Alligator mississippiensis: one gene and its partner. The protein of the gene in region 1 interacts with the protein of each later gene in a pairwise test. Links are inferred from orthologs where the notes say so. Each region holds a gene or a part of one and is shown in the gene's direction. Other genes may lie near its edges.

What was found.
Region 2: the proteins of TRIM59 (region 1) and NRM interact in binary tests that used the Homo sapiens proteins (3 or more experiments, as listed by UniProt). The two-hybrid records come from large-scale screens. The link is inferred for Alligator mississippiensis from reciprocal best matches to the Homo sapiens genes TRIM59 and NRM.

What each region holds. Positions count from the first base shown.
Region 1 is NC_081830.1:68,583,550-68,595,101, reverse strand, and holds the start of TRIM59 (tripartite motif-containing protein 59), read left to right. Parts: upstream 1-7,068; 5' UTR 7,069-7,174; intron 7,175-11,552. UniProt on the Homo sapiens protein: E3 ubiquitin ligase involved in different processes such as development and immune response. Serves as a negative regulator for innate immune signaling pathways by suppressing RLR-induced activation of IRF3/7 and NF-kappa-B via interaction with adapter ECSIT.
Region 2 is NC_081834.1:53,463,690-53,475,053, forward strand, and holds NRM (nurim), read left to right. Parts: upstream 1-6,069; 5' UTR 6,070-6,111; coding exon 6,112-6,235; intron 6,236-6,322; coding exon 6,323-6,525; intron 6,526-6,606; coding exon 6,607-6,786; intron 6,787-7,018; coding exon 7,019-7,339; 3' UTR 7,340-8,680; downstream 8,681-11,364.

The sequences.
Region 1 (11,552 bases):
ACTACAGAAAGGATGTGGACAAATTGGAGAGAGCCCAGAAGAGGGCAATGAAAAGGGTTAGAGGGCTGGGGCACATAACTTGTGAGGGAGGCTGAGGGAACGGGTTATTTAGCGTGGAGAAGAGAAAACTCAGTGGATTTATTAGCAATCTTCAGCTACCTGAAGAATGGTTCCAAAGAGGATGGAGCTCGACCAAGGGTAGGCAACGTTTTTTGGCTGGAGTACAGAAAACCCCACAATGCCTACCTTGGAAGGTGTTGGAGTGCTGGCATGCCAGAAAAACAAAATGAGGGCAGGGGGTACATTGCAGGATGCCCTGCGTGTGCCCCTTGCCCCCCAGCCCTGCTCATGACCCTTGTCTCCCACCTAAAGCCCGTGCCCCAGCCAGGGTTCTGTGACTGTCAGCAATTACCCAGAACCTGAGCCAGCTGCAAACAGCTGCTGCTTCCCAGCCCCAGCCATGGACTCTAGGGAGGCAGCACATACTGGCAGTGCTCCCTGCTGTGCTGCCCTCAAGCAGCGTTGGAACCCAGTGCGGCAGGGCACAGAGGGGGAGGCGCAGAAAGCTGCCAGCTCCCCGCTGCCCTGCCACACTTCCCCTGTGTGCCGGGGGAGCAATGCAGGGAGCAGCGTGGGCAGCAATGTAGGGAGCTGGGAGCAGGCAGCTTACTGTGCCCTGCCATGCCAGGTTCCAATGTGCGGTGCAGGGAGCACTGCTGGTGTGTGCTGCCTGGGTCTGGGGCGGGGGCAGAGAGGCAGCAGATGTTTGCAGCTGGCCCAGGTTTTGGGTAACTGCTGACAGCCACAGAGCCTGGGCTGCTTGCAGCAGGGCTTCCATGGGAGCAGCCTGGGCTCTGTGGCTATCAGCAGCTACCCAGAGCCAGAGCTGGCTGCAGCCGGGAGGCTACGAACAGCTGCTGCCTCCCGGCCCCAGGCAGGCAGCAGGTGCTGACACTGTGCCCGTTGGGGCCAGGGCTGGGGAGGTAGCAGCTGTTTGTAGCCTCTAGGCTGTAGCCAACCCTGGCTCTGGGTAGCTGCTGGTAGCCACAGAGCCCTGGCTGCTCCCAGCAGGGCTTGCAGCATCCCAGCTGCCTGCTGGGAGCAGCTACCCAGAGTTGGAGCCAGCTGCAGCCAGGAGGCTGCAAACAGCTGCTGCCTCCCTGGCCCCAACATATGCCAAGGAAAATGGCCTCACATGACATGCTTAGCATGCATCCTGGGGGTTGCCGACTCCTGAGCTAGACCATTCTCAGTCGTGGCAGATGACAGAAAAAGAAGCAGTGGTCTCAGATTGCACCAAGGGAAGTTTGAGGTTAGGTATTAGGAAAAACTCTCTCACAAGGAGGGTACCCAGAAAGGTTATGGAATCTCCATCCTTGGAAGTTTTTAAGATTGAGCTGGACAAAGGCTTGGCTGGGATTATATAGTTGGGGATGGTCTTGTGGTGAGCAGGGGTTGGACTAGATGACCTACTGAGGTTCCTTCCAACCCTAACTTGATTCCATGTAAGTTTTATGAGGAACAATGAATGGTCTGGACAACCTTCAGTGTGTAGAGAGAGCCTTTTCACTGAATTCGTTATTGCCTTCCAATAAAAAATGCATTTTTCCTGGAATCTCAAGTTTTGCAACTAAGAAGATTGTCCCAATTGCTGGGGGGTGACCTAAGACAACAAAATGGCACCAGCCACTTCTAGAGTCCTCTGCAAAGGAGATCTTGTCACTAGTTGAAATCTTATAAGGAACATAAACTGTTTCCGGCAACTTTAAGGCAATTGTCAGCAACCCTATAAATATGCTCTAATAACGAACTCATGTTTCACCAGGAATGCTCAGCTTGAAATTTGGAATTGTAAAGTCAGCAAAGAGTGATTCTGCTGCGTGATGCTGCCAATTAGCCCATCCATGCAGCTAGTTGATACTGCTTCCAGTTTAGCAGACAGTGCATGTTTGAGGATACTGCTAGCAGGGACAGTAAGTTTACCATATACATCCTTGTTCCTTAGGAGACCAAGATATAAATGTACTAGCCCATATGATCCTGAGACTTAGTTGGACTGTGCAACTAACCTATTTTTTGAAGAGGAATTATTAGGTAATGACCACTTTGCCTATTACCATAGCTTAACTTTTCCCTCCTCATGAACCAAGTGGCTAATTCCTTGGGTAGTTAGTATGACACTGCTTAATGTGGATCTGTGCATGAGGATAACTTGTTTACAAGCACAGATCAAATGGACACTGCTAGTAAAATGCCTGCTCGTAGGCACGTGGAGCGCACACACCATGTATTCACACATCTCAAAGAACTGCAACATGTCTATGAAAGAAAAAAATATTTATTTGTTTTTTATATATATAAGGCAATTCCAAAAAACAGCCTCTCAACACTCCTCTAACATTCGGAAGATGTAGGCAGCCCTATCAAGTCTGGAAATGGGACCAGTGGGAGCTCCGTGACGGATCAATCCTAAGTAGCTAGTTGAAATCTTACACAAAGTGAATCTGAACTTGACTGGAGAAGCTTGCCTCAGACTTGGTATTTTTTTCCCCACTTCTTAAGAAACAGTTTTTAGATCCCTTTGTTGAAGTTCTTTTTCTCTGGTGAGGAAAAAAAATCACCATCCCAGGTTCAGTTCTGTGTTGTCTAATGGCCAGATCTTCCTTTGCCTGGGGTTCAGTTTCTCTGTAAAGGGGAGACTCTGGGACACTTGGGTTTCTGTTTTTCCCCTACGTGAATGGGAGACTTTCATCCATAAGGACTTCAGTTTCCTCTTCAATGAAAGCAAACAGCATAATGGGCTGCCTTTGGGGTTTCGTCTCTTTCTACGAAAGGGAAGTTTCCTGCCACTTGGATGAGCTCCTTACCTCGGGAAAGGAGAACCTGAAGCCCATCAGCCTCACCCTTGGTGGAGGGGCAGCCCCTGAGCTCGCCTCACGCGGTGCGAGTGAGCGGCTCCTCGCCACGGGGCAGCCTCACACTGTCTGAATGCGGCGCTTCTCGCCCACCGGGATCTCTCCCTCCCTGCAGTGGGGCAAGACGACCTGCGAGTCGAGCACCTCGTCCTCGCGGGGCCTGACGAGCGGCGGCCCCCTCCTCCCGCGCCTGCCCGCCTGGGAGTGTACCGAAGTCACGAGGCGGGCCGAAGCGCTGCAGCTGAAGCCGGTGGCGGCGGCCGCTAGGGCGCAGGCCAGGATGCACATGAAGAAGCTGGGCCCGAAGGTGGAGGTGAGGCGAAGGGGCTGCAGTTCCTTCTCCGTCTGCAGCCTGCTGCGCGTCACCTCGAAGAGGCAGGAGCACAGCGCCGCCGCGCCCAGGGCGAGCAGCGCGGCCAGGCCGTGCAGGAACGGGGCGGCAGCGCAGGCTTGCTGCAGGCCCAGGAAGTCCAGCAGCAGGGCGCTGCAGCCGCTGAGGATGGCGACGAGGCAGCAGATCGCTATGGACAGGATGAGGGGCACCCCGGCCGGGCCCAGGAGAGGCGAGTCGGGAGGGGGAGCTATGGGGTTAAGGGCCCACACTGCTCCCAGCACGAACTGCACCTCGTCGCCGCTGACCAGGACCCAGCTGGGGTAGGCCCCGGCCAGGAACATCAGCCCGACGGCCAAGGCTTGGGCCACGACCGCTGCCAGGCTGCCCGTCCGCCTGCTGCCCGCCAGGCCCCGGAGGAGGCGGCCCGGATCCTCGGGGCCCTCCACCTCCATGGACCCGGGGCAGGGAGGGCGGAGGAGAGTCGGCTCCGGGCAGCTGTGCCCCGCCCCCGCCGCGCCGAGGCCGTGCTCCGATGGCCCGGGCGGAGGCAATGCTAAAAAGGGGGAAGGGGGAACAACCTGCTGCCGCTGCGCGGGGCGGGACGGGGACGGGCTGCAGGCAAATCCGCGACTTCCCCGGGGCCGGGGCCAGGCGCAAGGTTTGCTTGGTAAATAAATCCCCTAAAAGGAGATGCGTCTGCCTGAAGGACCCTGCGGGCTTTTGTCCCTTCTTCATTTTGTTAGTAAACTAGGGGAGGGGGCCGGTTTTAACCTTTGCTCTGCCTGTAGAAACATCCTCCAAGGTACAGCCTGACCTTGCCTGATGGTTACAAGGACACAGGTTTAAATTCTTGTAAGCAGCACATGCAGCTAAAAAAACCTAGTGTAGATAAAATTAAAAAGAAAGCTTTGCAGTTACCATTTATTTGTGGAATTACCAGCTTAATCGTTTTTTATTCAACATCACTTTTAAAAAAAAGATGTTGTTTGGCAGCCTTTTACATGAAAAAAATTCCTGTTACTGAATGGGTTACAGTATTGTTCACATCCAGGTCTCTGGTTTCAGTTGTCATAATCCAAATCAGGTTAGTAGTAATCAAATTTACTTAAAATCCACTTCAGATCAACAGTGACCAGAAATCATTATGATCTGATAGAGGATCAGTGCTCTGTAGGAATGAGTTTGATTTTAGTTCAGTTCGTTAGCTGGGCATTTGTATATTACAAGGTCTGCTGCCATAATTAGCCTGAATTGGCAATCTGAACAGACTAACAACTGAGCAGGTATGGAGGAGGTTCACCAACTCTCATCCACAAAGGTAAATCCACTCAGAGTAGGAGCTGTGAGACAAATAATATTTAATCTATTATGTAAAAATAATTTTATTATGAGAGCCTCTGTAAGCATTAAATTCACAGGAAGAAAAATATCTTTTGCTACCTACCTTTGAGGAAAATTCATATTTTTGTATCGGCAAAACTGCAGGGTTAATTGAGTGAAACACAAGAGAGAAAGATGTTATGCTTATAGAAGACCTTTTAAAATATTAGTTTTGTATTATCCAAGGCAGATGTTTAAGTATTTTGGAATGATGAGACTCTTAATATTAATTTGCCATTGCACTGTAAGTAATATGATTTGCTGACTTTTTTAAGGCTGCCATAATATTAGTGTCTAAGAATGTGTTTGAATTTTTATTCCCGTGACTTGACAAATTATAAATAAACCAACATAATCGTGTCTATGTGGAAAATGTACACACCACTGGGTATTTGACCTATAATGTTTTTAGGATTATCAGTGTAACAGATGGTAGATCACAATGCCAGCCACGAAATCCCTCAATGCGTCCACTTTCTAATACTTGCAAACTCTGTTTTTCCCACCTGGTATCCCAGAGCGGAGATGTTCTGGATCTTCCATTTCAATTCCACAGCCTTCAAGTCCCACATTGCAGTCAGAGCCTTCCTGGTCCTAGACTGAATTCTCTTCAAATCCTTGTTCATAGATTCATAGACATTAGGGCTGGAAGGGACTTCGTAAGATCATTAAGTCCAACCCCCTGCCCAAAGGGTAGGAAGTCAGCTAGGGTCAAGGGATCCCAGCAAGATAAGCATCCAAAAGGATACATTTTTGTTCCTTAAAAGTGCCCAGAGTAGGTCCTTGCACCACCTCTGTGGGGAGTCTGTTCCAGGCCTTGGAAGCTCAGACAGTAAAGAAGCTTTTCCTTATGTCCAGCCTGAAACAGTCTTGCAGGAGTTTGTGACCATTGGACCTTGTCATCATCTGGGGTGCTCTGGTGAACAGATGTTCCCCCAGATCCTGATGAACACCCCAATATACTTATAGGCTGGCACCAAGTCCACCCCTTTTTTAAAGTCCAAATGTATAATATCAACCTGTTCCCTTTTGTCCAGATGATACGTCACCTGGTCATAGAAGGAAATGAGATTGGTCAGGCAAGACCTACCTGCAACATGTAGCCTTCTGTTAGCCTGTCAAGAATGATTTCTTTGATCATTTTTTGATAATTTCTCTGATGATTTGTTGACCCTCCCTCATTTAATGAAAAAGATTTTCAACTGTCTGGAATTTGTGAAAATGCTGAATACTTCCAGTTGATTTTCAGTCCCTAAAGATTAGTAACTGGTATAAGTCTGATCTTACTTCCATTTGCAGATGATAAAAGCAGGTGGCAAAACATCTTTACTTTTGTACTGGTCTTCACTACTGAGATTAATTTTTACCCTTAACGCAAATGAAAATCCATAGAGAGCATTTTCCTGTAAGGCAGTTACCTGGGGAAACGAAATCCAAATAGACCAGCTCTGTATTTGTTCCATTTTGTTTTGCCTTGGGTTTCTTTATTGACAGTGAACAGCAGATCAGGGTTTAGTAACTGACTGTAGTGGCATCAGCAAATTAGTTCACCAGTTTCCTCTCCCTGGGCATAAGTAAGTTACTTCATCATTGTAAAACTATACTAGATAGCGTGCTTGTACGTGAAAGTCCTTGTTTAAATTTACAGGTTTAATCCTACTTGCTTGATGATATCACTGATGGTTGCCTTGATACTTTTCAGGTGGAGCCCTGATTTTATGTGATAAATACAAATAGCTGCAGTGTATGGAGCTGTGGGCCATTTCCTATGTTACTTTAAAGGCTCTTAAGTGTATTTATCAGGAGTCATAAATTTCTCATAAATTGTAATTTTAATTTTACTCCAGCAAGTCATCAGTTTGTACAGGACTAGTATTAGAAAACTGCAAAATCACTAGCAGTTGGAAATGCACGTAACTTTATGAATATTCAATAGATTCCTTGAATTTAGGATCTACGGTGCATCTCTGCCAGTGTTAGTAGCGATAGAAACACAAGAATAAGTTGGCGAGAGATTTTACTACCCGGTCCTCTTACTCTGGCCAGTTTCCTGCTGTAACCGCAGGGGTACGACTACTGCAAGAGATGAGAGGATGCGTGCTTTCTCCTTTTTCATGTGCACTGTAACTGCGTGACTTAACTGAGAGAGGAGTCTGAGGGAAAAGCCCTGAAGCCCTTGCTTCAGTTGTGCTCCGCTCCCAGCGGACCCTGCAGACCACCTGAAGGCAGCCCCTCGGCGCTCAGGGAGGGGAGCCTGCACTCGGCCTGTCCGCATTCGCATCAGCCGAGCCAAGGTTTCGCCTTTTATGTCGGAGGGAGAGAATGCGCTTCCGCGCGCGGTGACGAGGCCGGCGGGACCGTTGGTGGCCACGAGCCGAAGTTCGAAAGTGGCAGTTGGAGCCTGCCGTTTACTTTCAAACTGCGCGTTCCGCGGCGGTTGGCTGCAGCGGCGCATGCGCGCGGGGGTCTGCGGCCTCTGCCTGTCCGCCCCCGGCCGCAGAGGGCTGCTGTAGGCGGCGGGAGACGGACGAGTCCGCGCGGGCTGGTGAGTGCCCGGCTCCGGGGGCGGCGCGGCGCGGCGCGGCGAGGCGAAGGGATGCATGCGGGGAAGAGGCTCCAGCATTAAGTGGGGCGTGGGCCCCGCATCCACGGACTGTCACTGGCGCCGCGCAGGCGGCTTCCCCCGTGCCCCGCGCTGTCCGGGGATAATGGCTGCCCGTGGCGGGGGCACGGCCAAGAGCTGGCATCTTCTCGGGGCGTCCGAGTCTCCCGAGTCGGAGACGGTGCGGAGGGCAACGGGGTGGCCACAGACTGGATCCGGCCGACTGGTGGGCGCCCGCCTGGGAGCTGGATCCAGTCATTTGCCCGGCTGGATCCAGCTGGTGAGCCACCTTGTGCCCGCCCCTCCACCAGCTTAATTAGGTTTCACTGATTATGAGCATATGTTTATGTAAGGGGCGCATCACCCCTTGCATGAGGAAGGAAGTGGGGGAAAAAACAAACCTTGCCAGTGTGACCCGGAGGGGGCAGAAATCCCTTTTTGACCCCAAATCTGGCTGTTAGATTAGAGTCTGAATAAGTAAGCAAGTCCTTCCAGCCAAGCACCTGAGTGCTTTTGAAAGGGAACACCAGTGCACCAGTGGCGAAACTGGCTGTTGGCTTCTAGGTGTGGTGAAAAGGAAAAGACCAACCCCCCCCCCCCCAAAAGCAGAAGCCAGAAAGTATTGCATGTGGGAGGGGTGTGCTCAATTCTTCCTCATCCATGAAGGTGACAGCAGAAGCCCTGAAACTGTTGCCTTGTCAGCACAGATCCTGGTTTTCCCTGGTAAAAAGTCACAAATTATCTGTTTAAAAAACCCAAAATCCGTGATAAAAATTAAAGTCCCCCCCCACCCTGCTAGTGCTCCTCACTCCCCCACACAGCCTCCCCAGTCCTGCTCGTGCCCACTACTCCACCCACAACAGCCCCCCAGTCTCCCACAAAGGCACAGACACACAGACAAATACACACACACACCCTAGCAGGTTAGGTGTGGGGGAGGATGGGGGGGAAAGGAAAGGGTTGGGGGTGCAGATTGAGAATGGAGGGAGGAGAGGTGCATCTCTGCATGTTCCCGGAGGGCGGGATGAGGGTAGGCCACACATGCACCGCCCAGTCAGGGTGGGGGGGAAGCTCGCATGCAGCAGCCCCCCACACTACCGCCTCTGGTGGGGAAGGGGCTGGGGGCTGAGGGAGCGAGGATGTGTTGGGAGAAGACATGGAGTGCCTGCTGGCTGGTGGGCACTCCTGGTGCAGGTTTCCCCCGCACCTTCCTCTCCCTCAGCCCTGGGCAGATGAACATGTGGGGGGAGATGGGAATAGAGCGTGCCCCAGGGTGCAACAACGGAGGGGTGAGGGGCACTGCCAGCCCCACGCGACACACCGTAGTGCCCCCCTCCCCCCCACCTTGGCTCACTGTGCCCACTCCCAGGAGCAGGGCTGGGGGGGGGGAGGGGGGAGTGCAGTGGTCCCTCTCTGTGGCCCATATGTGCACCGCCTGGCTCGGGGGGGCCACACACGGACTACCACTGCACCGCTACACCTTGCACCTGTTGCCCGCAGCTGGAAAGCCACATGGGATATGGTGGCAGCTGCTGCGTGCGAGCCCTCCGTCCTCTCCAGGGCAGCCATGTGCAGCTCACAGAGGGTCACCGCTGGCCTGGTCCCCCTGACCCTGCTCCGGGCAACCAGTATGGTGGCAGCGGTGCAATGGTGCTGGCACAGGGTGGCTGCCACCATGCTGCTGCTAGTGGCTGGCATTGCACTGCCCCTGGCCTCTGCCCCCACACTGCATTTTTGGTTGCACACTGTGGCGGCCGCCAGCACTGCTGCACTGCCGCTGCTGTGCCCCACATCACTTGCCCAGAGCAAGGGTGAGGGCAGTAGTGCCCTTCTGCGGGCCCCACATGCCTGCTTGGCCGGGTGGGGCTCACACACGGTGGCTACCAGCACATCCCTGTGCGGCTTTCTGGCTGCGGGCAAGTGGTGCAAGGTGCAGCGGTGGCGGGTGCTCCGTGTGAGCTCCCCCAGACTGTGGCTCACAGAAGGACGCTGCTGCCCTCACTCCCCTGGCCCTGCTCCTGCGAGCAGGCACAAAATGAGCTGAGGTGGGGGGGGCGGCAGTGCCCCTCACACCTCTGCCGCTGTGCCCTGGGACACGCTCTGTTCCCCAACTCAATCTCCCTTCCTGCCCAGGCTGAGGGAGTGGAAGGTGTTGGGGAAAGCCCCACCAGGAGCGCCCGTTAGGCAGCAGGCATTGCATTTCTTTCCCTGACACATCCTCGCTCCCTCAGCCCCCAGCCAGCTTCCCCCCTCTCAAGCCCCACAACCCCCAAGCCCCACTCACCTCCAGGAATGAAGAAGAGTGATCCTGATGTAGCCTCTGGTAAGTGAGTGTGTTGGGTCCTGCCCTTTCCCCCTCCCCCTCCGGGCAGGGTTAGGGGTTTCCTGCCCTCTTGCAAACAGCTCTTGCAGGCTGGAACTCAGCTAGCCTGTAGAACTCTTCACAAAAGGGGGAAATCCATGGGTTTCCCCGCTGAAAGGGAAAATCCACGTGTTCTGATTAAATCAGGAATTCCGTGGTTTTTTTCCATTTTTATGTGGGAAATGGAAAACCCCGATGTTTGCTTATCAAACACCTTTCTCCTGGAGATGGATTCCTTTCACCCCATCATGGGGATACCAAGTACTTTAATCCACATGTGATATTAGGGATATAAATACTGATTAAAAAATACCTGCTTAACCTGTTATTACAATGCTTAAATGATTATTTGCTATGGCAACCCCCTTCCTGGCCCATGTGAAGCTGTTCTGGCCCAGTCTGCAGGGCACCCCTGCCCAGCCTGGCACCAGTGGGGTGCTTTCAGCCCCCCAGCTCAGTGACCTCCCAAGGGCTGCACCTGAGTGAGCTGGGCTGGCAGGTGGGTCCTCTGGGCTTGGGTGCAGAGGAGGCAGGTGAGTGGAGTGTTTCATGGGGCTAAACCACAGGCCTGGGAGAACCACCCTGTTCCATTTTACTTCCACCTTTCCCCTGCTGGTCCCTGGCTGTGGGGTGTGTGCAACAGTTGCAGCAACAGAAGGCACTGCATCCAGACAAGGATGGGTGCTATGGCACTGGGCTTTCAGTCTGTGGCTCTGCAAAGTCAGATCAGTGGGGTGCCGAGCCCCGGGCTGGCACCTGCCCCATCCCACCACAGAGGAGGGGCTACACCTGCCTGCGGGAAGCTGGGGGCCAAAGCGTTGACAAGCCCTGCCAGACAGGCCTGTTTGTTACACTTTAAAAGAGGCTTGTCCAGCGTACGGCCTGTGGGCCGCCATGCAGCCCGCCAAGGCATTTTCTGTGGCATGCGGTGCTGTGACAGGAAGCAAAAGTGAACATGGTTTACTTTAGTTCCCACCCCTTGTCCCTCCCCCAGCCCCTCAGTAGCTTCCTAATGGCTGCTGAAGGGCTGGGGAAGGGACAAGGTTCCCCCATGCACCACTTCAGCATGGCCTGGCCAGGTCCCTCACAGGGCCGGACCCCTCCCCAGCCAGGGGCGGTGCTGGCTGCAGCTGCTGAGTGGCCCTGCATGCCCCAAGGAGCCGGTGCCGCGGGCTTGGGGCAGGCGCAGGACAGAGCCTTCATGGGAGAACTTTGCCGCTGGGTGGCGGAGGAGCGGCTCCGCTTGCAGGTCTGGGACATGCCAGTCGCTGGTGGGGAGGGTGCGTGTCTGGGAGCACCCATTTTCCTGTCCCCGCCGCCCCGACAGGAGCCCGTGCCCTGCGCTGCTGGAGCAGCCCCGCGCAGGAGGCCAAGCAGCGGCCGCTGGCACTGCTGGCCTGTGCCTGTCTCCTCACCCGCCTGCTTCAAGCCAGCCCTCCTGCTCTGCCCTGCCCTGCCCCACAGCAAGGCGGTGCCTGCTCCCCCGGCCAGTCTCCCCCGGGCGCTGCAGCTCTCTGGGCCCAGCCACCCACACTGCGGCTCTCCGAGCCCGGCTGGGTCTGCACCGGCCAGCAGAAGCGGCAGCTGAGCCATGTGCCACTTGGGACAGGACAAGCCTACACCGGTCAGCCCTGAGCGACACATGGCTCCGCTGCCACTTCTGCTGGCTGGTGCAGACCTGGCCGGCCTCCTGTCCCCAGCAGCACATGGGAAGCTGGCTTCAGCTGCATGCTGCTTTTCCTGGCCGGTGCTGACCCAGTTCTTCCCAGGCAGGTCCTGCAGCACCATGTCAACCTGGGTATGGCACCGGCAGGCCAAGCGGGCCCCAGGTCAACCCCGGCCTGGCCCCTGGCTTCTCCAGCACCAGGGCAACCCGATTGTAGCCAAGTGGCTCCTGCAGCACCATGTCAACCCAGGCATGGCACCAGGCTGGCTGGGCACTAGGTCTGTAAAAATATT
Region 2 (11,364 bases), on another chromosome or scaffold:
AATTTATTAGCAAAGCCTCAGCTTCCCTCCTGCCTCACAGCCAGGCTACGCACAAGCCAGGGCAGAGCCTATGGGCCAGGTGCATGCCAGCCCTTCCCCTAAGTTTGATAGCACTGCCATGCATGGCTGTCTAAGTGTAGGGCTGCCCATGTTTAACACCAAAGCCGATCCACTCTGCAATTTCAAGCTATGTTCAAGGTCTCCCTGGCCAGGACCCCATTGATTTTGGAGGATGAGGGGGGTTAGAAACCTAAAAGAAAGAAATGGAGGTCACAGAGAGCTTGGCATCTGCTTGGCACAGTTGTGGCTTCAAACAGCTCTACAATTATCTGCAGATCAAACAGGTGTCAGCTGGCACTGATGAATGCCCTCTGATGCTACCCCACCCCATCTTGGCTTTGCCAGGTCCCAGCAGGTGGAATGTGTTGACCTTGCAGCAAGAAGAGAAAGATTAAGGTGTTGGAGGACTTTATTGGGGCTATCTTGGTCCCCTAATGGGCATGGGGGGAGTGAGGGTAGGGGCACAAGGAAACTGTGCCCCAAAAGGATAGAGCTTGGGAAAGGAAAGGAGGGATACAACAGAAGCCATAAAATGTGACCTCCTAGATTGCAGAGAGCAAGTGTTACCTTACAACTGTTACCTACAAGGCCCTTCTCCTATAAGGCTGCTTACAGACATGAAAAAAAGCCCAGTGCTTTACTTTCAGCTTGGTGTGCCCCTACGTCAAGCGCAGGACAGGCCCAGAAGAGGTATCAAGTCAGTTTGACCCAGTTCACCCAACCTATTTATAGATCATGTGCTTCAGCAGCGCTTTTTGGCATTTTTATGTAATAGCTGATTGAACCAGCTATTAGATAAAAGCACCAAAAAGCCCCACTGAAGCATGCAATCTATACAAACACTGGACAAGCCAGGTCAAACTGATGCAATGCCTCTTCTGAAACTGCTGTTTTACACATTTTTTTTCATGTCTGCCAGAGGCCTAAATTACTGGGGCAAAGTGTAGTCATTACAGCAGGGGCTAGGGCTCTGCTCTGTTCCCAGGTCTAGGAGGAGAGTGGAGCAGGGGTATCAAACTTACCCCAGGCTCCAGGCCATATCCAGACTGCAAGGGTTCCTCGTAGGCTGGACCCCTGGGCCTATGCTTAGGCAACATCATGGGCTTGGGGCCAGGCAGCTGCATGGAGCCACATTTGGGCAGCGCAAAGCCAGAAGCATGAGTCAGTGAGGAGCATGAGTCATGTGGCAGCTCAGGCAGGGCAGCAGCACAGAGCTGGGGACATGCAGCTGCACAGAGCCGTGTTCGGGCAGCAGTACAGAACTAAGGGGCTGCCACCGATAGTCATGTCCACTGGGATTGAATTCTGCTCTACCGCACTTCCAGTAGCCTACTGGACTGCCAGGGTGAGCCAGATGGAATGCTTCATACGTTTCACACCCCTGGTCTAGAGCAGTGGTTTTCAACCTTTTTCCATTTCCAGACCCCTAAACATTTTGAATGGAGGTGTGAACTCCTTGGAAATTTTGAGTGGAGGTGTGGACCCCTTTGGACTGTAAATGGGGGTATCTGCATACTTTTGATTGATCAGTCATCTTTCATGGACCCCCTAAGATGTAGTCTGCAGTCCTCCAGGTGTCCATGGACCACAGTTTGAAAACCACTGATCTAGAGGTAAGAGAAGAGGAGGCTGGGAGTCAGGATTCCTGGGTTCTGCCTCCAGCTCTGGGAAGAAAGTGGTGAGTAGTGGACTGGGAAAACCCATGACTTTTGGGATCTGTCCCCAGTCCCAAGACTGGAGCAGTGTTCAGTGAGTTAGACTGGCGGTATGGGAGATATGCAGGACTAGGGAACTGAAGGAGGGACTCTTGGGTTTTATCCTAGCTCTGTTTCCTCTTCAAGCCACTTGCCCTGTATCTATAAAACAAGGACAATAACATCCCCTTTTACTATGAGTTTTTTCAGGGATTTAATTAATTGTTGTTCTGAGAGCACTTTGAGATCCTTAGATGAAAGGGACAAAACCAAACAGTAGTTCTATTAGCAGTTACACAGTCTCAGGCCTCTCAGCATCCCTATTTATTAAAGCTATTGCTCCTGATGATTAATAGCACAACTTCACCCCTCCCTACTTTTTCCTTACTCATTATATTATGACTACACCTAAATGTTCCAGCCAAAATCCCAAGGTGTCAGGCCCTGCACAGACTCTGGAGAAGAGGCAGAGAACCTGAAGCAGAGTGAATGGGTCTGGGGCAAAGCTGGAACCTAAATGCAGGTCTCCAAAGATCCAGCTCAGTTTTAGCCACAAGATCCATGCCTGCCCTCCAAGATTGTCCTTTCTGAGACAGGATTCTGCCAGGCTTGAGTGTGGTTCATGCCCTGGTAATACTGAGCAATGACAGTGTCTCCCAAGCAGCTCTGGGACTACAGAGGGAGGAGAAGGCAGTCACAGTGGAACAGATCAGCACAAAGACCAGACAGACCCTGTGTTACGTCTCAGCTCTGTGTTCTTGGGCAACCCTGGCACAGGATGCAGTCTGTCTGACTCACAAGGACTCACCCCCTCCCTCCCCTCCTCTACCTAAACGAAACTGATTAAGATGCAGTGAGAGACGCACCTAAAACTCTCCAGATAAGGGTGATAAGAGTGAACAACTGCCCTAGGTCTCATTTACATCCGAGATGGAACCAGATGACCATTCATTTACATGAGAGATGGAAAACAGAAAGCCTGAAGCAGAGACTGCAGTGAATTCTGGGACCAGAGAAGCAGGAGAGCACTGCATGATGGGGAATCTGTGCTTCCAATGTTAATCAACCCATGTTCACACACACCCAGCTCAGCATTTATCAGACCCGTTCTAATCTGGATTTGCTAAGGACTTTTCTCCCCCCAGACACACACACACACAGCTCTAAGTTTAATAGGCATCTCGGGCCGTACATTCCCCGGTCCCACTATGGGAGGCCTATTTAAACCTGATTGACTAAAACTCAGTTGCCGGGTTAGGGAATGCTGAGGCAAGAGACCGAGTCCGAGGGGGTATGGGCAACATTTGAACAATGGTTAAGGGTTCATCACAGCATCCAGCCTGCTGGAGCCCTAATCCCAGGTGTTGTCGTATCTTTCCCGAGACGACTGGTGGAAGTCCTCTCCACAAAAGGTTATGAGCACCCCAATAATTGCTTTAGATCTGGAAAAGTCATGCTAAGCTGAGGCTTGTGCACAACAAGTAAAAATCCCAAATCCTGATGCTGCAAGCTATCTATTGTTCCTGAAGAAACCATAAGATATCCCATCAGTATATCTGCCATCCAGAGGAATCTCAAGCTGGCTCCCAAGTATTTGGGTTACTCCCTAATCTTAAGTGTTTCCTGATTATCAATCAGTTTCCTGAGATGGTCCAAACCAGTTAACCCTTTGTCAATAGAAAAGACAATGATTTACACTACTGAGGGTGCTTCGAAGCAGCTGAATTGAGGGTATAAAAATCTGTAAGTGTGTGTGCTTAAAAAGAGAAAAAAAAGAGAGAAAGAAAGAAGCAGCAGCAGGAGGAAAGGAGAAGAAGAGGAAAAGAAAAGAAGAAGAAAACTCCTGTGCTGACACCATCCCCTGTCATTCTTGGGACGCTGGAAGAACAGATCGTCTCTCTCTTCAAGGATTGTGCTACGGACTGTGCCTGTCAGCTTTGCAGCCTGAGTACCGTGGACTAGGTGAGATCCCAGCATTTTCTCTCTTCCGTCTAGGCATAAACTTCTGAACCTGAACTGTATTAGTTAAGCTTGAGCTACGTTTCCCCAAATACTTAGTGAAACCAGAGTAGTATTGTCATTGTTTGTGTTTGTTTTTCTTTAGCATGTCTATTACTACTAGTACTATTATATATTTCATATGCTTAGCAATAAATAACTTTTATAGGCAAACTGGTAGTAATTGGGTATATTTTTCCTTCTCTGCTTCTTTTTCCTCCCGTGCTTTGCAGCAACGCTTCTTTTACCTATGCTAAAGATCCCTGTGAAGCCTAAATTATTGTGGGGTCTGCTCATCCAGAGGCCAAAGATTGGGACGTGCTGAGTTTGAAACACATAAGGGGATCAGCTTGTACAGGCTGATTGACCCAGTTTGACTCAGACGTGCCCTTATGAACTGAATGCTGGCCCATGAGGTTGTCAGCTGGACACCCAGCTGGATTCAGAGGGATTCTGTTTACCTGTGTGCTTGTGTTTGACTGCATTTTATTGTTGCTCTTATGAACTGATTCTTGGCATACGAGGGTGTCAGCCTGTCCATGCTGATCAGCCCGGCCAGGTCAGGCGTGTCACATTAATTTGTGTGTGTTTGTGTGTGTGACTGATTTGGTGACTGGAGGAACCCAGTCCCATTGAGATTGAGTCCTGCAAGATAGCTCCACTGGGGGTGAGGGCTTGCAGAAGGGAGAGAGACAGCTCCGTATAGTAACACAAGCAGCACATTGACAGAATCACCAAGACCCTAGAAACTATTCTTTAATAAATGAGCACACCCCAAAGTAATGGGCAAATTTGGTAACACCTGGAGAAGCCCTTGGCATTGGGGAGGGGGCACCATAGGCATCCGAATGAGGAGCTCTGGGGGCATCCCCTCATATTGGGGAACAGAATTTGGGGGCTTCAAGTGCGGGATGATGAGGCCAGTCTCTGCAGAAGCACTGGAGACGGAGGATATGACGCTGTGGAGGGCATCTCATGTGTGGGTGGGAGACTTTTGGCTCAGATCAAGTGTCTTGGTGGGGGCATCTGAACACTAAGACCTCCGGGCTTTGTAGGATGCATACCAATGGATTTGGAAATATCTGAAGTCCCAGGGTGAGAGCCTGGGATGGAGGATGCTCGGGGGTTGTAGCACCATACATGGCATCTAGAATGATCAAGTGCTGCCTGCTCAATCAATATGTTTTTTGGAACAATTGAATTCTACTCAATCGAGTTCTACTCACAGGTTACCCGGAGAGGTGGTGGAAGCTCCATCCTTGGTGGTTTTCAAACCCGGCTAGATAAAGCTTTGGCTGAGATGATCTAGTTGGAGCTGGTCCTGCTTTGAGCAGTTGGTTGGACTAGAACAGTGGTTCTTTCGTATTGGGACCCATTTGCAAAGATTGATGGCTTGTCCAGACCCACATCCCCCAGCCCTGCTATTGCCCGACCCACAGTGCCCTGCCCCCCCTGCCCTGCTGCAGCCTTGGTGCCCGGGCACTCAGCCACCATCCCCCAGTGCCAGCAGGTACCTCTCCCCAACACCCATCCCCTCCACACCCCGACAGTCCCCAAGCCCTGGCCCTCCAACCCCCACGCCCCATGCACTTACCTTCATCCAGCTGCTAGGGCTGCTTGTATGACTGTGCCTGGCTGCATGCTAGCCATGCCTCAAGCAGCCCCTTGCAGCCTACAAGGGTAAACCCATGCTTTTGCATGATTTTCTGGCACTTACTCATGACCCTTTGATTGAAATATTCTTGCAACCCACTTTTGGGTCAGGACCCACGGGTTGAGAACCACGATGACCCCCTGAGGTCCCCTCCTACCCTTTCTATGACACTATGATATGATTTGGAACTGATTCGATCTGGAACACGAAACACATTCATAAAAAAATAAGATGTGTGGGTGGGAGACCTAGGAGGGGCTTAAGAGACCCTTGGGACAGCCCTTCCCGCGGAGCTGGAGGTGGGGTAATCCCTGGGGGAGGGAAGGCTGCCCTGCGCGGGTGGGGTGTGGGGTCTGCAGGGTCCAGGGGCAAAAATCCTGGGACTCTGGGGGAAAGAGGGAGCAGCCCGGGGCAGCCTTGAGCGGGGGGACCCTAGAAGAGGGAGCAGGGGCCGGTGGCTGGAGGGAGCTCCGGGCGGGGCGGGATGGGAGACCCCGGGGCAGGGCTGCGGAGCTGGCGAGACCCCAGCGAGAGACAGGAGAATGGAGCATCCGCAGAGCCCCGCCCACTGCGGGAGCTCCTCCCACCTGGGGGCGGGCCCTAGGAGAAGTCGCGTCACAGGGGAGCCCCGGGGAAAGCCCCTCCCCAGCAGGGCGGCGCTGGCTGGAGGCGCGAGTCGGGAGTCCCCGCCCCGGTGCCCGCGCCATGGCGCCCGCGCTGCTGCTCGTGGTCCCGGCCCTGGGCAGCTTCCTCTTCGCCTTCGGCACCGGCGTGGAGCTGGTTCGCTTCGTGTCGCTGCGCGCCGTGCTGCCCGGCGGGGCGCGGCCGGGTAGGGCGGGGAGCGGGGCTGGGGGCGGGGCGGGGGGGCGAGCGAGCCCCGGGGCGGCCGCGCTCACCCCGCTGCCGCCCCGTGCAGAGCCGACGGCCGGGCGCGAGTGGGCGGCGGCGCTGCGGGACCCGCGCGTGCTGCGGGCGCTGGCGGCCGATCTGGGGCTCGTGGCGCTCTTCGTGCTGCAGCACTGGCTCATGGCCTCGGCGCCGGCCAAGCGCTGGGCCGCGCGCTGCCTCGGCGTGCTGCACCGCTCCTGCTACGTGTGCTGCACCGCGCTGGCGCTCCAGGTACCGGGCGGGGCGGGGCGGGGCGCGGCGGGGCCGGGCCGGGCCGGGCCGGGCCGGGCTGAGCAGAGCGGGCGCCCGCAGGTGCTGATGCGGTGCTGGCAGCCGGTGCGGGACGGGCCGCTGCTGTGGGACGCCTCCCGCTCGGAGCCCTGGGCCACCTGGGTGCTGCTGGCCTGCTTCATCCTGCACTTCGTGGCCTGGCTCATCATCTTCAGCATCATCCTCATCTTCGACTACGCCGAGCTCATGGGGGTCAAGCAGGTACTGGGTGGAGGGAGGAGGATCCAGGGGCTCAGGGACTGGGATTAGCTTGGGGGGGTGGAAAGGGGGAGGAAGGAGTCTTGGGGTCTTTCCCCTCTTGGCTCCAACCTGCTGCAGGTCCCCTGCCCCAGGTCTGTTACCACTGCCTGGGCTCGCGGGGGGCAGTCTTGGGGGCTTTCCTCTCTCGGCTCCAACCTGCTTTGCCCTCATGCCGTGCCGTGCCCTGCCGCAGGTCTATTACCACTGCCTGGGCATGGGTGACCCCCTGGCTTTGAAGTCGGTGCGTGCCGTGCGGCTCTACTCCCACCTGCGCCACCCCGTGTACCTGGAGTTTCTCCTCATCCTGTGGGCCGTGCCCTGCCTCTCCCTGGACCGCCTCCTGCTGGCCACCCTCTTCACCGCCTACATGACCTGCGGGCACAGCCTGGACCAACAGGACTACCTCTACCTCCGTGCCCAGCTTGATAAGAAGTTCCAGGTCTTCTCCCGTGAGGAAGCTGCCTATGGGGACCTGCTGGCCCGCAACGGCCCTGTCTTGAGCAAGGAGAGCTGAGTGGGAGCAGGACCCTGCTGGATGGCTTTTACCTAGGGGGAGGTCTGGCGCAGTGGTGCCCTTCCCCACCCCCCACCTTGCCAAGCACTGATGCCCTTAGCTCTGCACTTAGTACTGTAGTGTTAGGATCTCTCCTGAGTCCCTAGAAGTCACAGCTGCCTGCAAAAGCAACCTTGGAGTCTAGGCTCCCTTCCCCATGCTGTGACCCACTGGAACACTCTTCCTTCCCAGAGCTGCAGTAGAACCCATGAGTCCAGGCTCCCAGCCCACTTGCCCAGCTCCACTTTCTAGATACCGTTGGCCTTACAGAGCTCGGTAGAGGTTGGTCTCTCTCCTCCCTCCCCCATTGTAACACTCTTCTTTCATAGGGTCCTTAAGTTCAATTCCTGGCTCTGAGAGGGGAGTAAAGTCTGGGTTACAGTGGGGAGGTCCAGAGTCAGGATTCCTGCCTTCTATTTTGAGCCCTGGGTTTAATAGTTTCAGAGGCATTTGAAATCAGGACTCCTGGGCTCTTCCCTACTGCCTTCCCCATAGTGATGGACGTGTCGCCAATCTCTGCTGCAAAAGTCTTGAAAAATGGTTTCTAAAAATGAAAGTAGGGTACTGTTTCTTCTGTATTTAGGTACAAGGCAAAAAAATGGCTCGAGTGATATGAAGATGAGCTGGAAAGGAGGGATGATTAATAGGAAGGGAAGTCCATCCCTTTCTGGGGCCTTGGCTCTGACCTCCCACACTTCAGTGGCCAGTGGATGCATTGAAGGTGTGGGGAGAGCAGGGGAGTCAAGACATGGGGATCAGGACATAGGGCCTCTTCCCTGCAGTGAGTGCCAGGCTCCTATTAAAAGTTAGCTAGGAACTGTGCCACAAAATCCAAAGCCTGCTGATGTTCAGGTCTCCTAGCTTAATGCAAGTGTTCTAGCTTAATGCTTAATTCATTATGGGGATTGGGACATTTTGGGTCCACCAGAATCCCTGGGCCCCGTCTTGGAGAGGAATGGTGTCCGATGGGTTAGAGCAGAGGGGCTGAGCATCAGGACCCCTGAGTTCCATCACCAGCACTCAGGAAGGGGGTCCTGTGGGTAGAGCAGAGGCTGAGCTGGGATTCAGGATACCTGGGTCCTATTTCTGACTCAGGAAAGCAACCCCAACCTTAATCGATGCCTTAATGAAGAACCTCTATTTTTAACGCTGCCTTTTTGTGCATGTGGGGGTTTTTTTGGTTCTTTTGTTTTGTTTTGTTTTGAACCTGAAGCTGATAAAGTATTTTTGTATCTTGGGTTTTTGAGTGATCTGGGAAAAGGCTAGTTTAAAACAAACAAACAAATAAATAACTAAAGAGAATTATTGCATTTACAAACATGTTTCTGTGAGACGGGTAGCACAGCATGGGGCAGGACTCCTGGGTTCTCTCCGCAGCTCAGGGAGGGTGGTGGTGCCTGGCTTAGGGCAACACTTGGGTATGCAGCCAGCAAGCCGTATCGCAGTGCTCTGTCTCACTCTCTGCAATATACCTGGAATGAAAGTGTCTGGGGTATCCATCTCTTGATTGCATGCTTTTCATCTGGGCTGTTAGACGTGGTAGGGAGCTTGGGGCAGAAAGTTCGGGTCCTCCTATTCCCAAAGCATCATCTTGGCACTAAGGAAGGAGGGAAATTTAGCTCCTGCCTGTCAGCACATCTTTACAAGCACATGAGCTGTTGCTGTTCTTCCCACTAGAGGGCATTGCTGCCACAGAGATGCCAGGCACTGGGTACTGCACCCTGTTCTGGTCAGCCAAAGGCATTACACACACGGGGTCATGGGGCAGCTTGCCCATGCTACCCTAATGTTCCCTCTCCATACCCACCTGTATCCCTGGGACCCCTTTTCCCTACTCCCAGATCAGTCTCCCTCCTTCCCCCATCAGTGTTTTTGTGTGACTTCCCCCCTGCCCCGTCCTCTACTTCCCCACCTGCCACTCTGTCCCCATTGCAACCTTTCTTTGGCAAGGCTGAGTCAGTCCAGGATGTGACCCCTGATGGGCAGAGCTGTGCCACCAGCAGCTCTGCCGGAGATGCTGACTCACCAGCTCACGGTGCGCAGCAGAAAACATGTCTTTGCTGGTGGAGCTGTGTCTGCACCAAGGCCTGGTTGGTGCCACCCTGTTCTACAGCCGTGAAAAAGTCCTGTTGGCATACACTTTTTCACTAAGGAACTGTGCCAACACAGCAGCAGGGGCTACCCTAGGGAAGACAAGTGTTCGCCGCATAGCAGTCTAGGAACATTGTACCAGGGACCCGCACTGACTGTGGGTGTAGTATCACCCTCTTTCCTTTCTCTTTTGGAGCTAATGCTCCAGGGGATGGTAAGAAGAGAGCTGAAACTGGGGGTGTTAGGATGGGAGGTGTCTGTACTGTGGGACAGAGCTGAGTGAAGCACTTCCCAAGGTGTTGAGGCTACCCACATGAAGAGTTCAGAAATGATTGTACCGTGGAACAAGCTGGTACCAGCCTTCACCTGGGATATCCATCAGCACTTATTCTCTTGGGGGGTGGGGGGGAGTGTTGTTACATGAACTCTCCCAGAGCAACACCCCATGTCTCCCCACTGGTGCCAGTGTGAAGGTGATGCTGTGTCTGTTCCCTCAGCTTGGCCGCTGGAGTCTGTGTGTATAGCAATGCTCCCACAAAGGCAGGGCTGGAGATGTGGCAGGGGCCACCCCTTGGTGGTCAGAGCTAAGCAGAGCAGGCCTCAGCTGACATTGCTGGGAACAGGGGGGCTGAGGCCTGCCCTAGGCTTTGGCTTCCCCTCTCAGTGGGTCAGGCCGTGCATAGCTCACATCCTGGATGGAGAGCCAGGGGCGGGAGTGGGGGCTGTAAGGAGCCTGTGTGACACGCGTGTCTGGCTGGGGAACCACGTGAACAAGGAGCAAAGCAAAGTTAGGTATTTGACCTGTCAAATACAGCTTGTTTAATTGACCTGTCAAATATCCATCAACTATTGTAAAAAAGAAAACAAAACAAAAAACACCCCCCAGAAATGTCAACAGGTCCAAATACGATGCAGAAAAACCACAAATTTTCCATTATAAAGTGTGTCAGAAAACAGTAAAAAAAAATCTTGTTTCCATCAAGAAACATACAAATATATATTCCTAAAATCACTATAATCTTTGGGCAAAAAAATATGTGGTCAGTTGACCAGCTTGCCAACCCTACAGGAAAGTGTGCGCGCGCGTGTAGGGGGATGCTGGGGTGTGTGTATGTGTGTGTGCATGTGCATAGGAGGAGGGTGGGGGGTGTAGGACGCGAGGGTGTGTGTGTGTAAGGGGATGCTGGAGGGGTGTGTGAGATGCTGGGGGTGCACAAGTAGGGGGGCTGTGTGTGTGTGTGTGTGTGTGTGCGCGCGCGCGTAGGGGGACGAGCGGGGTGTGGAGGGGAGGCCGGGGGGTGTGGAGGACACCGCCTCCCCCCGCAGATCCCTGCCTGCCCGGGTGCGGGCGCTGGGGCCCGGCTCTGTCGAGCGCAGTCAATCCGTGCCGGCCTCTGCCCGCCGCGGCCGCTGCCCGTGGGCGCTGTGCAGGAATCCCGCGGCGCCCCCCGCCCGCCCGCCCCGCCCCGCATTGTCTCCCCGCGCCTTCACACACAAAGACCCGGCGGAGGCGGCGGCGGCGGCGGCAGCGCCCGCCCCGGCGGATCGGGGCCCCCCGGATCGGGGCCCGCCCAGCCGCGCGGCGCCCGCCCCCGGACGCCTGGGTCCCCGGGGCTGCCCCCACCCCCACGCCGGTTCCGCGAAACTCCCGCGACCGGGAACCCCCTCCCCGCCTCCCTCCTTCCCTGCCTGCCTGCCCGGCGCGGGGCGGGCGCCTGGTTCCGTCTGCCCCGCGGTCCGGAACCCCCGAGCCCCGCCCGGGACAAAAGGAGCCTCCTTCCCTCCCTGCCCATCACTCCGACGCCCGGGTCCTGCGAGCCACGGAGCGCTTGAAGCCTCCCAGCCCGGACGCCTGGGTCCCGCCGCTCGCCGGGGTAATTATGCTGCCCCCTCCC